Linked DNA regions of Oryctolagus cuniculus. The protein of the gene in region 1 interacts with the protein of each later gene in a pairwise test. Links are inferred from orthologs where the notes say so. Each region holds a gene or a part of one and is shown in the gene's direction. Other genes may lie near its edges.

What was found. The genes of interacting proteins can lie anywhere in the genome.
Region 2: the proteins of ADRB2 (region 1) and VAPA interact in a protein complementation assay, tested with the Homo sapiens proteins (2 studies listed by BioGRID and IntAct, with this or other methods). The link is inferred for Oryctolagus cuniculus from reciprocal best matches to the Homo sapiens genes ADRB2 and VAPA.
Region 3: the proteins of ADRB2 (region 1) and GPR37 interact in a protein complementation assay, tested with the Homo sapiens proteins (2 studies listed by BioGRID and IntAct, with this or other methods). The link is inferred for Oryctolagus cuniculus from reciprocal best matches to the Homo sapiens genes ADRB2 and GPR37.
Region 4: the proteins of ADRB2 (region 1) and KCTD13 interact in a protein complementation assay, tested with the Homo sapiens proteins (2 studies listed by BioGRID and IntAct, with this or other methods). The link is inferred for Oryctolagus cuniculus from reciprocal best matches to the Homo sapiens genes ADRB2 and KCTD13.

What each region holds. Positions count from the first base shown.
Region 1 is NC_091437.1:36,224,077-36,228,078, forward strand, and holds the start of ADRB2 (beta-2 adrenergic receptor), read left to right. Parts: upstream 1-1,202; 5' UTR 1,203-1,440; coding exon 1,441-2,635; intron 2,636-3,286; coding exon 3,287-3,294; 3' UTR 3,295-3,330; exon of another isoform or gene 3,331-4,002. UniProt on the Homo sapiens protein: Beta-adrenergic receptors mediate the catecholamine-induced activation of adenylate cyclase through the action of G proteins. The beta-2-adrenergic receptor binds epinephrine with an approximately 30-fold greater affinity than it does norepinephrine.
Region 2 is NC_091441.1:67,079,282-67,083,353, forward strand, and holds the start of VAPA (vesicle-associated membrane protein-associated protein A), read left to right. Parts: upstream 1-1,272; 5' UTR 1,273-1,553; coding exon 1,554-1,632; intron 1,633-4,072. UniProt on the Homo sapiens protein: Endoplasmic reticulum (ER)-anchored protein that mediates the formation of contact sites between the ER and endosomes via interaction with FFAT motif-containing proteins such as STARD3 or WDR44.
Region 3 is NC_091434.1:160,977,254-160,981,499, reverse strand, and holds the start of GPR37 (prosaposin receptor GPR37), read left to right. Parts: upstream 1-1,446; 5' UTR 1,447-1,875; coding exon 1,876-2,901; intron 2,902-4,246.
Region 4 is NC_091450.1:7,326,683-7,330,694, reverse strand, and holds the start of KCTD13 (BTB/POZ domain-containing adapter for CUL3-mediated RhoA degradation protein 1), read left to right. Parts: upstream 1-1,212; 5' UTR 1,213-1,726; coding exon 1,727-1,970; intron 1,971-3,918; coding exon 3,919-4,012. UniProt on the Homo sapiens protein: Substrate-specific adapter of a BCR (BTB-CUL3-RBX1) E3 ubiquitin-protein ligase complex required for synaptic transmission.

The sequences.
Region 1 (4,002 bases):
AGTACAGTCATAATGTTACAAACTGTATGAAATGTCCATTCTTGTAAATCAGAGGCAACCAACCAAGGCAACTTCATATGGTTCAATCCAACAGATACAAATTATCTAGCCTCTGAAAAGATTGCTTTTTCTGCAGTTGCCATGGGGTTATCAAAGACATTACGTTTGAAAGGAAATCTGTTTCATTTTCAGTGCATCTCCATTCCAACAGATGACAGAAGGGGGGCTGCTACACTCTCAACAATCAGCAACAAAACCACGCAACTTTCTTCGCCATCACAAGCTAGGTCCATACACAGCCAAGCTGCAGTGAAACGCAGAGTAAAACCTTCCCAACTCTCCGCCTTCCCGAGGAGAGCATTCAAAGTAACTGACAGGGACCGTGCTGAGGGAATCGGCAGCTGTTTAAGTCATCTCCTGTGATCTTGCCAAATGTTTGAAAGGGTGACGGGGTGGGGAGAGGTGGAGCACGGGGGTGTGTGGCAATTGAGGGCTTGAGCCAGAAGAGCTGTGGGTACCCGCACAGGGTCGCGTGCCTCTGTGGCTCTGTGCGCTCCCAAGTCCCAGCGCGCACGCACCTCTATGTGCGTAGAGTGTGTTTACTTCTTTCCGTGTGCCTGTCCGTGCCTTTGTGCCCTTGGCTGCTTCTATGTCTGACTCTGACCGCGTGTGAGCCGTGACTGCCGGCAACAGTGCTTGTGGGTTGCGTGTGAGCGCGCGCGAGGCTTGTTGGTGCGCTGGGTGGGTGTGTGAGCGCGCGCGAGAGGCATGTTGGTGCGCTGGGTGGGTGTGTCGTGTCTCCCTGAGTTCCAGATAAGTCTGAGCATGTCCGTAGGGGTGCATCGTGCTTGTATGTACAAGTTCTGATGGCACTCTGGTCCCTGTTTCCAAATGTCGCGAGCGCCATTATGCGCACAAGCGCCCAGGGCAGACAGGTAGCAGCCGGAGGGAGAGGAGCTCAGTTCGCTGGTTCGCTGCTGAGCCCGCAGCCCCCGCTTTAGCACTCAGGAGCCAGCCCGGGAGTGGTGGCCCGCCTGCCACCCGGGCCAGCCCCAGGAGAGGGCGGGCAAGGGGAGGGAAGCGAAGGGGAGAGGTGCCTCGCCCCTTCGGGGCTGCGGGCACGCCATTGGCCGAAAGTTGCCTCACGTCACTGGGAGGCAGTGGCCCCGAAGTCCTGAGCACATAACGGGCAGAACGCACTCTGAGGCGGCTTCTCTGAAGTGCAGGCTGGAGCTGGCGGGCACGGAGGGCTCAGAGCAACCCACAAGCCGAGTGCGCCGGACGTGACCCACGCGACCCTCCGCATCCAACTACGGCCGCTGAATGAAGCTTCCAGGAGTCCGCTCGCGGTCCGCAGCGCCCCTCCGGAGGTGCGCACGCTGAGGCGGGGCCACTGTGCCGCCAGCCGCCCCCGGGCGCTCACCTGCCCGCCTGCGAGCCATGGGGCAACCCGGGAACGGCAGCGATTTCTTGCTAGCGCCCAATGGAAGTCACGCGCCGGACCACGACATCTCGCAGGAAACAGACGAGGCGTGGGTGGTGGGTCTGGCCATCGTCATGTCTCTGATTGTTCTGGCCATCGTGTTTGGCAACGTTCTGGTTATCACAGCCATTGCCAAGTTTGAACGTCTACAGACGGTCACAAATTACTTCATCACCTCACTGGCGTGTGCTGACCTGGTTATGGGTTTAGCGGTGGTACCCTTTGGGGCGAGCCACATTCTCATGAAAATGTGGACTTTTGGTAACTTCTGGTGCGAGTTTTGGACTTCCATTGATGTGCTGTGCGTCACTGCCAGCATTGAGACCCTGTGCGTGATCGCAGTGGATCGCTATTTCGCCATCACCTCACCCTTCAAGTACCAAAGCCTGCTGACCAAGAATAAGGCGCGCGTGGTCATTCTGATGGTGTGGATCGTGTCGGGCCTTACCTCCTTTCTGCCCATCCAGATGCACTGGTACAGGGCCACCCATCAGGAAGCCATCAACTGCTACGCCAAGGAGACCTGCTGTGACTTCTTCACGAACCAAGCCTATGCCATTGCCTCCTCCATCGTGTCGTTCTACTTGCCCCTGGTGGTCATGGTCTTCGTCTACTCCAGGGTCTTCCAGGTGGCCAAAAAGCAGCTCCAGAAGATTGACAAATCAGAGGGCCGGTTCCATGCCCAAAACCTCAGCCAGGTGGAGCAGGATGGGCGAAGCGGGCATGGACATGGACTTCGCAGGTCCTCCAAGTTCTGCTTGAAGGAACACAAAGCCCTCAAGACGTTAGGCATCATCATGGGCACATTCACCCTCTGCTGGCTGCCCTTCTTCATCGTCAACATCGTGCACGTGATCCAGGACAACCTCATCCCGAAGGAAGTTTACATCCTCCTCAACTGGGTGGGCTATGTCAACTCTGCTTTCAACCCGCTCATCTACTGCCGGAGCCCAGACTTCAGGATTGCCTTCCAGGAGCTTCTGTGCTTGCGCAGGTCTTCTTTGAAGGCCTACGGGAATGGCTACTCCAGCAACAGCACTGGCAAAACTGAGTACACAGGGGAGCAGAGTAGCTATCACCTGGAGCAAGAGAAAGAAAGCGAGCTGCTGTGTGAGGACCCCCCGGGCATGGAAGACTTTGTGAACTGTCAAGGTACCGTGCCTAACGATAGCATTGATCCCCCCGGCAGGAACTGTAGGACAAATGACTCACTGCTGTAATGCAGTTTTTCTACTTTTTAAGGACCCCTCCCCCAACAGAACACTAAACAGACTATTTAACTTGAGTGTAACACATTTAGAATAAAACTGTATAGAGAGACGCAGAAGGAAGGCAGCCTTCTGCCTTTTTTTTTAATCTTTTTTAACCTGTAAAAAAAAAAAAAAGAGAGAAGATGTATTTGAGTGATTATTTGTTTCTTGTACAGTTCAGTTCCTCTTTTGCATGGAACACCTAAGTTTATGTCCGAAGGGCTTGAGTCCTAGAGGACCTGGGTCTGCTACGTTTTGATGACTTCTCCGTGTATCTACCTCAGTGGTCAAGTATTAGGGGTAATATATTGCTGCTGGTAATTTGTACCTGAAGGAGATTTTTCCTTCCTGCACCCTTGGACTTGAGGATCTTGAGTATCCCGGACCTCTCAGCTGTGAACGTGGACTCTTCCCAGCTCCTCCTGTTTGCTCGGACCGGGTGTTGTAGGCAGGGATTCGAGGGGGCAGCTTCACTTGTTTTCCTGAGCAAAGTCTAAAGTTTACAGTAAATAAATTGTTTGACCATGACTTCATTGCACCTGTTTCTCCAAAGCCCCTTGACTGGAGTGTCCTTGCCTCTCCCACTGGAAACCGCAGGTAACTATTTGTCATAACTGCCTGGCGGCTTAATGTGGAATGATACAAGAATGACACGCACTGATTGCTTAACCCTTTCGTTCGCCTCTGACTCTGCTGTGGCAAACCTGTATCTCTCCTAACCCTTGTGACCCACATCGGTTCTGCCTGTTCTCAGCATAGCTCAGTCTGCCCTCGGGTGTTATTCTGTTCTGTGACCTCAGAAACACTGACTCACAGAAACAGAGCTCTGGGCATACAGTTTGTCCCTTTACCTGCCACCTCACCGCCCCCCCCCCGCCCCCACCTCCCAGTTCTACTCATTTAAGAACTCTTTTTTTTAATATCTCAGCTGTATCTTCTAGTAGAGCTCTTTGTATTGCATCAGGGCTTTGCATTTTAAGGATAAGGAAGATGTTCTTGCGAGAAAGCAACCCAAACGTGATTCCAAGGGAAAATAAAATGACACTGGTCCTAGGGAGAGAAGCTGGAAAGCACGTGACTGATGACTACTTAACGGCCTAGAAACAGGGTTTTAACCCTTCTTCTTTACTTTTGCCTCTTCTTCCCTCTCCCACTGGCTCTCCTCGGCACCCTCAGCATTATCAGCCTTGAGAGTGCCCGTTGTGGGATTATGCCATGCATCACTGAATGTGGAGCAATATCCCTAGCTTCTGCCCATGCGATGCCAAT
Region 2 (4,072 bases), on another chromosome or scaffold:
TGGCACAGTTTCCTGTGTGTGCTGGATTAGCTGATCTGCAGAGCTATTTCCGGATGGGTTCTGGTACCTGGATTGCACAGGAAAGGTCGGACTTTGTGCCTCTGTCCCGTCTGCTGTTCCATTTGTCTCATTTGTTTTCTAGACAAACTGGGCTGCTCCTTCATGGCACCAGCATCAATGCCCTTTGTTTTCTGATGCTTCCTAGGGATTTAAATTCAAGCAGCAGCATACAATGCAATGATTTATTTGCAACGCATTCATTTGTTTCATTTGCTGTTCCTGTCCCCGATTACCCTGGCAATCGGTTGATGATTTGTCAGCAACTTTGCGGCGGGGATTTTCTTCATTTTCGTTTCAGTTTACTACAGGCTATCATAAGTGATGCAGATGATATTCGTTTCTGACACGTGAATGTGACAACTGTTTTGGTTCGGATCCGTCATTAATCAAAACTGAAGAACAGAATACAGCAACTGAATTCAGCGCTGCAGATTCTGACTTTCATTTCTCGCGTTCTAACATGTGCTTTGTCATATCTCCCCCAAGGCGCCTCTGCTTCTTTCACGAGGTCCGTTTCCTCATCTCTCTTTGCATCACTGGAGCGAATTCAGGAAGCAGGCGAGGTTGGATGGGAACACGACAGAAAATTCAGCCCTACCAATAGACGGGTGGATAGAACTACAGAGCAAACTGACAAATCCCTGCTGTAAGGGTTGGGGGGGAGCTGCAAGTCAGCCTTCGAAAGTTTTTTTCTTTTTTAGCGCGGACGAGACGCTGTCTGAGAGCCAAAAAGAGAGTCGGCGGGCCCCACCCCACTCTTCTCCAACGGACCTCATTCTCCTTCCCGCCCGCAAGCAGCCGCTACTACAATTCCCAGAAGGCACCGCGCAAGGCCGCAAAGGATCAGTCCTTCGGCGGAGAGTCCTCCCCCGGCAAGGAGCATGCTGGGAGTTGTAGTGAATCGGCGCTTCCCGGCTACTTCCTTCCATTAGGCATTTCCTTTTGAAAAATGGTGATGCATTGCCGTGGCAGGTTCCCTAGTTTCGCACTTTGCGCTCAGCGAGACGGAGGGCTGCGCCTCTTGCCCAGCGCTGCGAAGGGCGCCAGTCCCTTGCGGGCTTTACTCCGCCCTCTGTTCACGCCCGTTCCCTTGACAGCTGGACTGTGCTCGCGGCCGCGAGGCCGGGGACGCGCAGGCGCACCAGCCCAGTGCCGCGCTAGGCAGGCCTCGAGGGCGGGACGGACGCCAGAGCCTCTCTCGGCCGCCGGGGCGCGCACGTAGGCACGCAGAAGCTGTCACGTGGGGCGCCGAGGATCGCAGTGCGCGTGGCCGCGGCGGCTGGTGTGGGGTTGAGTCAGTTGTGAGACCCGGCGCTGCTGACCCAGCGGGCGACCCACCAGACCGGCGACAGAGCGGCAGGCGTCGGGGCTCGGGATCCGTGAGCCTGGCCCCCTCGTAGAGATCCGCCGAGCCGGCGCCGCCGTCGTCCCCCGCCCCCAGCCAGCAAACCGCCGCCGCCGCGGGCGCGCCCCCGCTCTGCGCTGTCTCTCCGATGGCGTCCGCCTCCGGGACCATGGCGAAGCACGAGCAGATCCTGGTCCTCGACCCGCCCACAGACCTCAAATTCAAAGGTTAGGCAGGAGGAGGACACCTCCGGGCAGGGAGGGGGCGAGCAGAGGGCTCGAGGGCAGGTTGGGGCCGCGGCCCCAGGGAGCGCCCCCTCCCCCACGCCCGGGCGCTTTCCATTTTCCGGCGGCTCCCTCGCCGCCTTCCCGCGGCCGGCCAGCCCCTGCCCGCTCCCTCCGTCGCCCGCGCCTCGCTGCGCGCGCCGGCCGGGGCGAGGAGGCGGGCGGGGTGGTGGTGGTGGGGGTGAACCGGCCCGGGCGCCGCCGCCGCCATCTTGCGGTCCCGCGGGGGCGCCTCCCGGGTGCAGTCGGCCGCGGGCTCGCGTCCTTGGCCCCCGAGGCCCGGGGCGGGCGTGGGTGAGGGGCGGCCCGCGAGCGTGCGCCCGGGTGTGCAGCGGCGCGGGGCGTGTGGAGGTGGCGCAGGCCGGCGTCTGGCTGTCAGCGGCGAGGGCGGGCGCGGCGGCCCTCGGACCCGCGGGAGGAGTGAGGGCCGCAGCTCGGGCCCGGGCGAGCTGGGTGGGGCCGGCCCCTGGGTCCTGGCGGAGGGCGTCGCTGCCCGCCTTTTTGTCCCGTGGGTAACTCAGCTGTCAGGGAACCGGAGCGCCGGGGGAGGCGGAGAAGCGCTCATGAGTGCGCTCCGGACTGGTCCGGAGGTGTTGGCAGAGCCCCAGGCGCGTGCGGGCCGGGAAGGCCTGCGTCAGCCCCGAGTGGATCGCCGTGGGCTGCTCGGAGTGGGTCTGCCTGCCCCTCGGCCGTGACGTCTCCGCGCGCGGCAGACCCGTGGCGGCGCCTTCGTAGCCCTCCACTCGAGTTCTGCTGACTTTGGCCTTTGCGTTTGCGGCCCCCCCTCCCCCCCAAACCCTGAGAAGGGTGATAAGGTGACACCCAGCTCTGGAACTCTGCTGATTTCAGGGCTCTGCCTGTGATGGAGTGAGTGATCGGTGTGTCTTGGTGACCCCGTTTGGTCCATTGGCTTTCCCGTATGCAGGGTACTTTAGGGAAACGAGTTAAACAGGTTACACTTTTTTTTTTTTTTTTTTTTTTTTTAAAGGAATCCTCATCGTGCGAAGATCTAAATAGAAAGCAGGTTCTGTCTTTTCTTTGGTTGACTGCAAAGTGAATCCCCGATTTGGAAGGCAGGGTCTTGTGTTTCAGTTGCAGTAGCTTGGATGAGACCGATTTTGGTGCGGTGTATGGCAACTCCAGTGCTAAAAGAGACAACTGAAATCCTTTATTGTTGTGTAGAGTTGAGTCCAAAAGAAAAGTCCGCGAGGAAATTTTAAAATAGTTTTAGGAAATGGAAAAATAATATCTTCTGGCATTGTGAGAGTAACAGTTGTATGATGACTTTGCAAACTGAGTGAATTTGCAAATCTAAATGGAAACCTAAGTGAGCTGTTAGGTAAGGATTTTGTTCGAAAGGCAACTCTTAGGGCATATTTTGAGGTGTAGCCAGCACATTCTATTGTAGCAAGTGTACCTGTTCCATGATAGTACATAGTTTTAGCGGGAGGGGGACCTTTGAGGAATATGGTGTAATTATACCCTACTCAAGTAGCCGTTGTCTTAAGTTGAAGGAATTTAATGTGATGTATATTTTTTCAAGAGCATTTTGATTTTACGTTTTGACTGGCTGACAATAGGCAGCTTCTGCATAAGCATAGATGGATTGTCATTAGGACTTAGAAGCCTTTAAAACAAATTTTAGGTCAGGATGTCTGCAGTTGACAGGTTTCTCCCTAGAGAGGTTATGATGTCGCTTTGGTAATATTCATAGTGGAGAAGCAAGTTCAGAAAACAACCAAAGACACGACGACACACACAGTAACTTAGGAAGCAGGTTCCACAACAGAAACTTAGAAACTGTCTTATTCATGCATTTCACGTGTTGTGAGTACCTGGTAATACACAGCTGTGATGTTAGAACGGGTTGTTCTCGCCTTGTGGAAGAAGTCGTCCAGAAAAGGCCAGTGAGTGCAGACCACGTTACCGAGGCGCAAACACCTCTGAGGAGCAAGGCCCCCCTCCTCCACCTTTCGGAAGCCGCCCGGGAAGAGGCTGCTTTCCAGTTGTCTGGAGGGCTGAGCTAAGGGAGTGGCTGAGTAAACACTGCAGTGGAGAATGCCAGGCGCAGAGCGGACCGAAGTTTCTCAGGGAGTGTGTGCTGCTTTAGAGGTGGGTTCACGGGGAGCACGAGGATTGGGGGAGAGGAGCAGTGCAGTAAACTAGTGGCTGACAGTTTTGGTGCTTGGTTTTTTGCCTCCTCAGTGTTTTTCAAAGGTTGCCTTTCGTTGTGGTGGAAACTTGTCTACATTTAAGTGGACGGCACAACACCAGCTGAAGAGACTTATTTAGAATCAGCCGTCTATTTGTTGTGCCTGGTTTGATGATGACACTAAGACTTCGTTTGTCCTAAATCACCCTTAACTTTTTGTTTAAAGGAATG
Region 3 (4,246 bases), on another chromosome or scaffold:
TGCGTCTCTTGTAAAGACCCTTGTGATTATAACTGAATCCCATCCTCTAAGTCGCGGGCAAGGTAGCCTACACACAGGCATCAGGGATTACGGTGTGGGCATCCTTAGCTATCTACAATTGGCATATTGTTTACTGTTTTTCCTCTCTTTCTAGATGCGTTGCCCTATTTCATTTCACAATGTGCTTCTTTCTTAACCACGTTCTCTTAATCAGTTTGTCCTCTGTCTGTTTTATTAGCTACACCCCGACAGCTGGAACAGCGCTGCGCAGTGGTGGCAGGCCCGGAAGGCAGAGCTGAGCAGTGCTGGGAGTTCTGCGATTCTCCCCTCAATGTAATCTCCCACTTGGCTATCACTCGGACAAAACTCCGTGCCCTGTGCTCTGGGCGCTTCGAAGTGACCTCGAACTCAGCGTGAAAGGTACAGGTGCATCCTGAGCAGCCTCACCCCGTCCCACTTGCGAGACTGGCGAGCACGAAAACCTCGGATCTCCCTCTCTCCTGCCTCAGCTCTCGAACCTGAGAAGGTGAGCGCCTCACCTTTCGACTCCCTAGGGGCGAGGCCTGGGCATGCGCACCTGCCTGGGCCAGCGGAGACGGTGGCGCTGCTCTCGCCCCTTCTACCCACCCCGGTTGTCCACCCCCCCCCCCGCCCCCCAACACACACACACACACTCTCTCATCTCTCCTCCTTCCTCCAGCCCCATCCCGGCTCGGGGACCGGTCTGGCTGGTTCCGACATCTGGGGACTTAACCTGTCCCGCCCATCCGTGGCCTCCAGCCGCGCAGGCTCCGCGCGCCTCCGCCCTCGCCGCTCCCAGCCCTTAGGCGTGAAAGCCACTACGAACGGTTTGAATGAAACGCCCGTGGGCTTAGTGGGTGACAAACCAGCAGGGGATCCCGTCTCCCCACAAACCAGCGACTCTCAATCGGTGCAAGGCGGGGGGCGGAGCGGCGGAGGCGCGGGCGCGCGCAGCGGCTGGGGAGAGGCCGGGCCACCTCCCCCTTCCCGGCCGCGCACAGCCTCGCCCGCGGCGGTTCCAGGCACCACACTCCCCGCGGCGCCCGCCGTGGCGGTGACAAGCTCCGGCGGCCGGCAGCACAGCCCGCGGCAGACCGGCTCCCCCCTCGCCCCCATTCCGCCCACGACTCCCTCCTCCGCCGGGGCACGGCGCCCAGCTGCAAGGGCCGCCGGCTCGTCAACTTTGAGCCGGAGGAGAAGCAACTTTGGCCGCGGGGTTCGAGTCCCGCTTCTCCGGTCGCTGGGGTTAGGCGGGGCGAGCGTGTCCCGGCGCGTCCGCGAGGCGTCGGACCTCCGCAACCTGTTTCCAGCCCAGCTGGGAGTGGGATTTGCCTGCCAGCCGTCTGGGGGAGGGGGCCTTGTTTTTCTTTGCGTCTGGAGACCTCGGCTTGCAACTGGATAAAGCCGTATCAAAAGGATGTAAACAGGCAGAGCAACTGTTACCAAGAAGGCAGCCGCCCCAAAAAGCAGGGAGCAGCGTCGGGGGTGTGGGGTGGGGACTTCCTCCCAGCTTCTCCCAGGCGCAACAATAATCGACACTCAGGTGGCGGTTGCAACTTTTCAAGGTCAGCCACAGGGAGTAGTCTTTCCATCTCTGCACCTTGGGGGCACACAGAGGCTCGGATTGGATTTGACTGAGAAATGCGCAGGACGCCAAGCAAGAAAGGCTGGTAGAGGAGGGGGTATAGTGTGTGACCCCAAGACTCATCCCTCATCCTCCCCAAAACCTTCGGTCTCACGCTGCCCCGGCTGGGTGAGTATGTGACATGTGTGTAACTCGCAGGAGCAACTTGGGCAGCAGGTGTCGATCCTGAGCGGGAGCCGCCGCGGCTGCCGGTGAGCCCTCGCCCAGCCATGTGGGCCCCGGACGCGCCTGCCGCCGGCACTTTGCGGCTGCAGCTTCTGCTGCTGCTACTGCTCCAGATTTCCGCGTCTTTTGCCTTCGGGTTTGCCCCTGCGCCCAGGAATGAAACTTGTCTGGGGGAGAGCTGTTCACCTATACGGAACCAGCGCCGCGGCAGAGGCTCGTGGGGACCAGAAAATTCTGCAAGAGACGTCCTGAGAGCCCGCGCGCCAGGGGAGGAGAGGGAGGCAGCGCTGCGCTCGGCGCCCTCCTGGGACCTGCCAGACGCCCGGGGCGGTGACCCAGGTGCAGGCAGAGGGGCGGAGGCGTCGGCAGCGGAGCCCTCGGGACCTCCGACCAGGCTGCTTGGCTCCTGGAGATGGAAAGGCGTCCGGGTCCAGGAGGTCCCCGGAACTTTGAGGAGAGGAGACCCCACGGCCCTCCAGCGCTTCCTTCAGACCTCAGAGGACGAAGAGGAGGATCCCAGGGGCGCTGGCATTTCCGGGCGCAGCCAGGAGCAGAGTGTGAAGACGGAACCTGTAGCCAGCGATCTCTACTGGCCAAGGAGAGCCGGCAAACTCCAGGGTTCCCACCACAAGCCCCCACCCAAGACGGCCAGTGGGTTGGCAGGGCACGAGGGGCGGACATTTGCACCCCCTGGCCGGGCGCTGGCCCAGAATGGGTCCTCAGGCGAAGAGGTCCACGAGCGCGGGGGTCCCCGCCGGGGTAACAGCACTAACCGGCGAGTAAGGCTGAAGAACCCCTTCTACCCGCTGACCCAGGAGTCCTACGGAGCCTATGCGGTCATGTGTTTGTCAGTGGTGATCTTTGGGACCGGCATCATCGGCAACCTGGCGGTGATGTGCATCGTGTGTCACAACTACTACATGCGGAGCATCTCCAACTCCCTCCTGGCCAACCTGGCCTTCTGGGACTTCCTCATCATCTTCTTCTGCCTTCCGCTCGTCATCTTCCACGAGCTGACCAAGAAGTGGCTGCTGGAGGACTTCTCCTGCAAGATCGTGCCCTACATCGAGGTGAGGGCTCTGGGTAGGGGGGCGGGGCGTCAGGCTGCTAGCTTTCTGGGTTTCCAGGCTCACGGCATCAGAGGCATCAGAGCTGTTGCTGGGCCCACCGACTCGCTGGACCTTTCCCCTTCATCTCCAGTTCTCCAATTCTCATTCCAATCGTTTATGCATGTATGTATAAAAAGAGGCAGCTTTGTTAGCCTGCAAATTCGTCTGTTCCTGGGCTGTGAAAAAAAAAAAAAAGACATCTTATAGTGCATAGAATGGGTTGAATCACTCTCTCTGAAGATGGTGTGGTGTAAGTTTCTGCTTTGGCACCCGTCAGAGAACCTAGGGTTAAATAAATGGCCAGCCCATAGTTGTCGTTATCATGGCCCAGCAAGAAAATAAAAACCAGCAGTATTTGCCAACTAGATTTTTGTGCTTCAGTGTGGATTTGTCTCCAGGAAGATTATAGCCTTTTTTGAATCGCAAAGTTGGAGCAATATTTTATTTTAAAAAAGGAAATCTGCCTTTCTTTGTTTGTCAGCTTGGCCTCATGATATATTAATAACCTCTCAAATTAGCTCAAGTGTCTGGCTGTCTTCTATGCTATCACATCCACATTCTGTCATGTCTTGCTCCTTTTCCTTTTCTTTCTCCATTCTTTAACAATTTTATTTAGTTCTGAATGGATGAACTTAAGCTAAAATAAGACTTTGGCCACAATGGTACAGAATTTATCATTGTCGAGGTATATAGGACATATTTTCTACAAGTATAAAGGATTGGCTATTTTAAAGAATTGACTAACACCAGCAAGTTTCTTAAAAGAGGAATGTATTATTTTGCAAACTTTGGAAAGGACAATCATTCTGAGTAAATTTCTACTGCTTCATCCCGTGGCTAGGGTCCTGAACCGTCCGTGTGGTAGTTGGAATTTGCTCTTTAAATGGCCTCTCTGTAAACACCAGCTCTTGGAAGGGGCCCAAGTGTTTTGCTGCCAGTTGTGTCTTTGGCCAGCTGGCCCTTGATTTTCTCCATTCAGACTGTCCATTTCATTTATGGAAGCAGAAGAAGGGAAACCGTAAATATTCCGGAGCCCCTGATCCTGTCTGGCACCAGGGCCAGTGACACTATGTTCAACATTGTCCCAGGGCTTTAAGCTACTGGATAAGTAAACAGAAAACAGTACCTATTTAGAAGGACCAAGGCAAGAGACAGTAAATAAAACCCTCTGTTATCTTGACAGGGATCAGATGCAGAATCATTCCAGGGCTACTAAATCAGCTGTTACTGCTTCACCAGAATCCAGACTTCTCTTGTTGCCAAGTTCAAAGTACCTCTGAAACATCTATATTTACTTGGTAGACAG
Region 4 (4,012 bases), on another chromosome or scaffold:
AGAGGCCAAACACAGATGCCCGGTGGGAAGGATTTGGGCTTGCTGTGGGATGTCCTAGGAGGGCTCAGGGAAGGGGGCTTTGCTCTAGGCTGCACGTTGACAGGAGGCAAACTCGTTCTTTTCAGTTAGCTTACCGACGTCAGCTGGAAGAGGACAGGACTGAATGATGGCAAAAGCTGTGCTTGTTCAAGAAGCGGCTGTCCCTCACCCAGTGGTGGAAGGGGTCATGTTAGACCATGTTGGTGGTCTGTAGTATGCGATTGTTTTTGGGTTCAGACATGATTAGGGAATGGGCTTTTTCTCCACCCACCCGTCACTGAGTGACCTCGTCGGAGGTTGTTCAGTGAAATTGTTCGTGCTCAACGGGACATCACCGAAGCCCGGCTGTGGGTGTGGGTGCCAAGCCAGTGCCTGGCAACACCAAGGCTTTCTGGAAGGAAGAGTGCAAATCGGCTCCAGCTGTCAGGAGTTGCCTCTCTTTTCCTCTGCTACACTTGAAAGTCAGAATTGGCGACCCCTTTTGGTAGAACCTGCGATCTCTGGTTCATAACAGGCCCATTTCTCCTTGATACCTTACGACTGGCCCACTTTGCTCATTCGCCTTCCTACCATCTCCTGCAGGCATTTAAATGTGCACCCCTGGGGTGGCCATCCGGTGCAGCAGTTGAAGATGCCAGTTGGGACTCCTGCATCCAACCCATATTGGAGTTCCTAGGTTCGAGTCCCATCTCTGCATCCAATTCCAGCTTCCTGCTCATGTGCACCCTGGCAGGCAGCAGCCGATGGCTCAAGTATTGGGGTCCTTACCACCCACATGGAAGCCCTAGGCTGAGTTCCTGGCTACCTCCCAGGGGATGGGTGGCAAAGTTGAAACCAGAGCTCTGACCCTGTGTCTGGTCTTCTTCCAGCTAACCTCCCTGGCCAGACGTGAAGGCGCATGATTAAAACCATCTCTCTCTGTGCCTCTAACCCGGGTGCGGGTCAGGTCAGCTAAGAACACGTCTCTCCCACCACAGTTTTCGTGAACAGTGCGTTCTTTCTCTCCGGGTTGGGTGCTAGGTATCACATTACCCGGGAGTCTATTTGTCCGTCGGCTCCGGCCACCCCGGAAGTGCTCTCTGCTGAGACACCAAGCCTTTCCTGCCTGAGGTCTCGGCACCTGCGCTCCCTCTCAGCTCCAGCTCAGCCCTAGCACCGCCGCCGCCTGCTTTAACACTTCCCGCCTCGGGGCTCTGTTCTCCTATCCTGTCAGGGTACGGGGCTTGGGAAGTGGACACTGCCAACACCCGTCCTCTCTGAGCGAGGTTTCCCTTCATGCCCACGAAGTTCGGGGAGCAGAGACCCCATCACGGCCCGGGAATTTCGCTTTCCACGTCCGGCAGGGGTCCGCGCCCTTCCTCAGCCTCATCTCTCCGGTTCCTCATCCTGCTGGGGCAACGCAGTCCGCCAGCGAACTCGCTCCCTAGACGACTGCGCATGCTCTGCACTCGCGGCCACGCCCCCAGGATCAGGGGCGGGGCCTGGCCGCGCCTGCGCAGATACCCGGCGCCTACTTCCGGGTGGTGCGAGCGCAATGGACGGAAGGGCCAGTGTTTTGGAGTAGCGGCGGCGAGTGGGCGTGTACGCCGGACTGTGTGGCTGGAGAGCCGGGATCCCGGGGTCTGTGGGAGCAGGCCGGAGGACACGGATAGAACCTGGGATCGCTGCTTGCCCGCCGCCACCTGGCATGTCGGCCGAGGCCTCGGGCCCGGCGGCTGCCGCGGCCCCGTCGCTGGAAGCCCCTAAGCCCTCGGGTCTCGAGCCTGGCTCCGCCGCCTACGGTCTGAAGCCGCTGACCCCGAACAGCAAGTATGTGAAGTTGAACGTGGGCGGCTCGCTGCACTACACCACGCTGCGAACCCTCACGGGACAGGACACCATGCTCAAGGCCATGTTCAGCGGCCGGGTGGAGGTGCTCACCGACGCCGGAGGTAGGCGCGCCGCCCGGAGACCCCGGCGCCCCGGCTCGCTTTCCCTAGGCTTTCGTCGCCCAGCCTTCTCGTGCCCCTTCCCCGTCTCACGTCTCCCCTCCCTCCGGCCCCTGCCCCCTCGCGTAACCTCTGACTCTTCCAGGCACCACCGTGCCCTTCACCATCCCCGTCACCAGCTCTTCCACCCCTCACCCCTCGTCTGGGAAGACGTGAGAGCCAGCCCTGCCGCCAGCAGCGGCCCTCCGGGCAGCCTCCCTCAGTGTCCCGCCCCCCACCCCCAGCCTTTTGTTCCCCTCTGCGTGGAGAGCTGTCCGTGTCTCTGTGGTCCCCTGACACAGGTCCCTGAACACTCTAGGGCTCATCAGTAAATGCATACTGTAGCAGGAGAAGGAGATGATGGGGAGTTCCCTTGGCAGGTGAATCTTAACCCTCTTGGAGGGTCGCATTGAGGCTTGCGTGGCGCGTGCCCAGGTTTGCTTCAGGGGGGCTGGGGTTTCAGAAGAGGTTAATAGGAGAGGGCAGGAAAATTCAGAAGTGGGGAGAAGATACCAAGGCAAACCATTCATTCATTCATTCATTCAGTATTTGTAAAGTTCCAGTTAGTGCTGGAGAGACTTTGGTGAGGGGATCTGACAAGATGAGTCTTTTTAGGGAGTTAGGGGTGGGGCACAATAAATAAAGCGATAAGTAAACAAACAGCATACAACTGTAACTGCAGGGAGTAAAAGTCCTGTGAAGACCGTACAGCTTAAATGGGCAGTGAGTGGCTTAGACGGTTTGAATAGGATGATTGGCGTTAACATTAGGGGTTGGAGGTTTATTAATAAGGTAATTATGCACGAGGGCTTCAAAAAGTTCATGGAAAAGTGGAATGAAAAGTAAGCTTATTTTGGTGCGGAGAAGTTTGGAGGCCAGGTGTATGAGGGGTCTTCAGAAAGAAAATGGAAAATGCATGCCACAAGGAAACTTTTCATGGGTTTCAAACATTTTCTGTGCCTGAATAAACTTAGCCATTCATTATATATATATATTTTTTTAACAGGCAGAGTGGACAGTGAGAGAGAGAGACAGAGAGAGAGAAAGGTCTTCCTTTTGCCATTGGTTCACCCTCCAATGGCTGCCGCGGCCGGCGCACCGCGCTGATCCGATGGCAGGAGCCAGGTACTTATCCTGGTCTCCCATGGGGTGCAGGGCCCAAGGACCCGGGCCGTCCTCCACTGCACTCCCGGGCCATAGCAGAGAGCTGGCCTGGAAGAGGGGCAACCGGGACAGAATCCGGCGCCCCAACCGGGACTAGAACCTGGTGTGCCGGCGCCGCTAGGCGGAGGATTAGTCTATTGAGCCTCAGCGCCGGCTCATTCCATTTTTTTAAAAAATATATTTATTTACTTGAGAAGCAAAGTTACAGACAGAGAGAGGGGTCTCCCATCAGCTGCTTCACTCACCAAATGGCCACCACGGCTGGAGCTGGGCAGATCTGAAGCTAGGAGCCAGGAACTTCTTCCATGTGTCCCACATGGGTGCAGGGGCCCAAGAACTTGGGCCATCTTCCCCTGCTTTCCCAGGCCATAGCAGAGAGCTGGATCAGGAGTGGAGCAGCCAGGACTCGAACTGGTGCCCATATGGGCTGCTAGCACTATGCAGACGAATGCTCAACCTACTACGCCACAGTGCCAGCCCCTAGTAATTGCATTTGTACGTGACCTTTCTGAAGTACCTGCAGCGTAAGAACTTTCTCTCTGTGAGAGCCTTCCCACTGTAGAAGAGATTCAGGAGGGAATGAGGGGAGAACGCACGGGGGATGTTTGAAAGGGGGCTCCTTGACCTGGCCAAGGTTTGAGACAGATCGGTTTTCAGACTTTCTTGTGGCCATGGGATTCTTTTTTCATAAAGATCGAGCAGCTTCAGGGCCCACGGCAAAGCCACCCTCCCTCCTGCCTCTCCCCAGGCTGGGTGCTGATTGACCGGAGCGGCCGCCACTTTGGTACCATCCTCAACTACCTGCGGGACGGGTCTGTGCCACTGCCTGAGAGTGCCCGAGA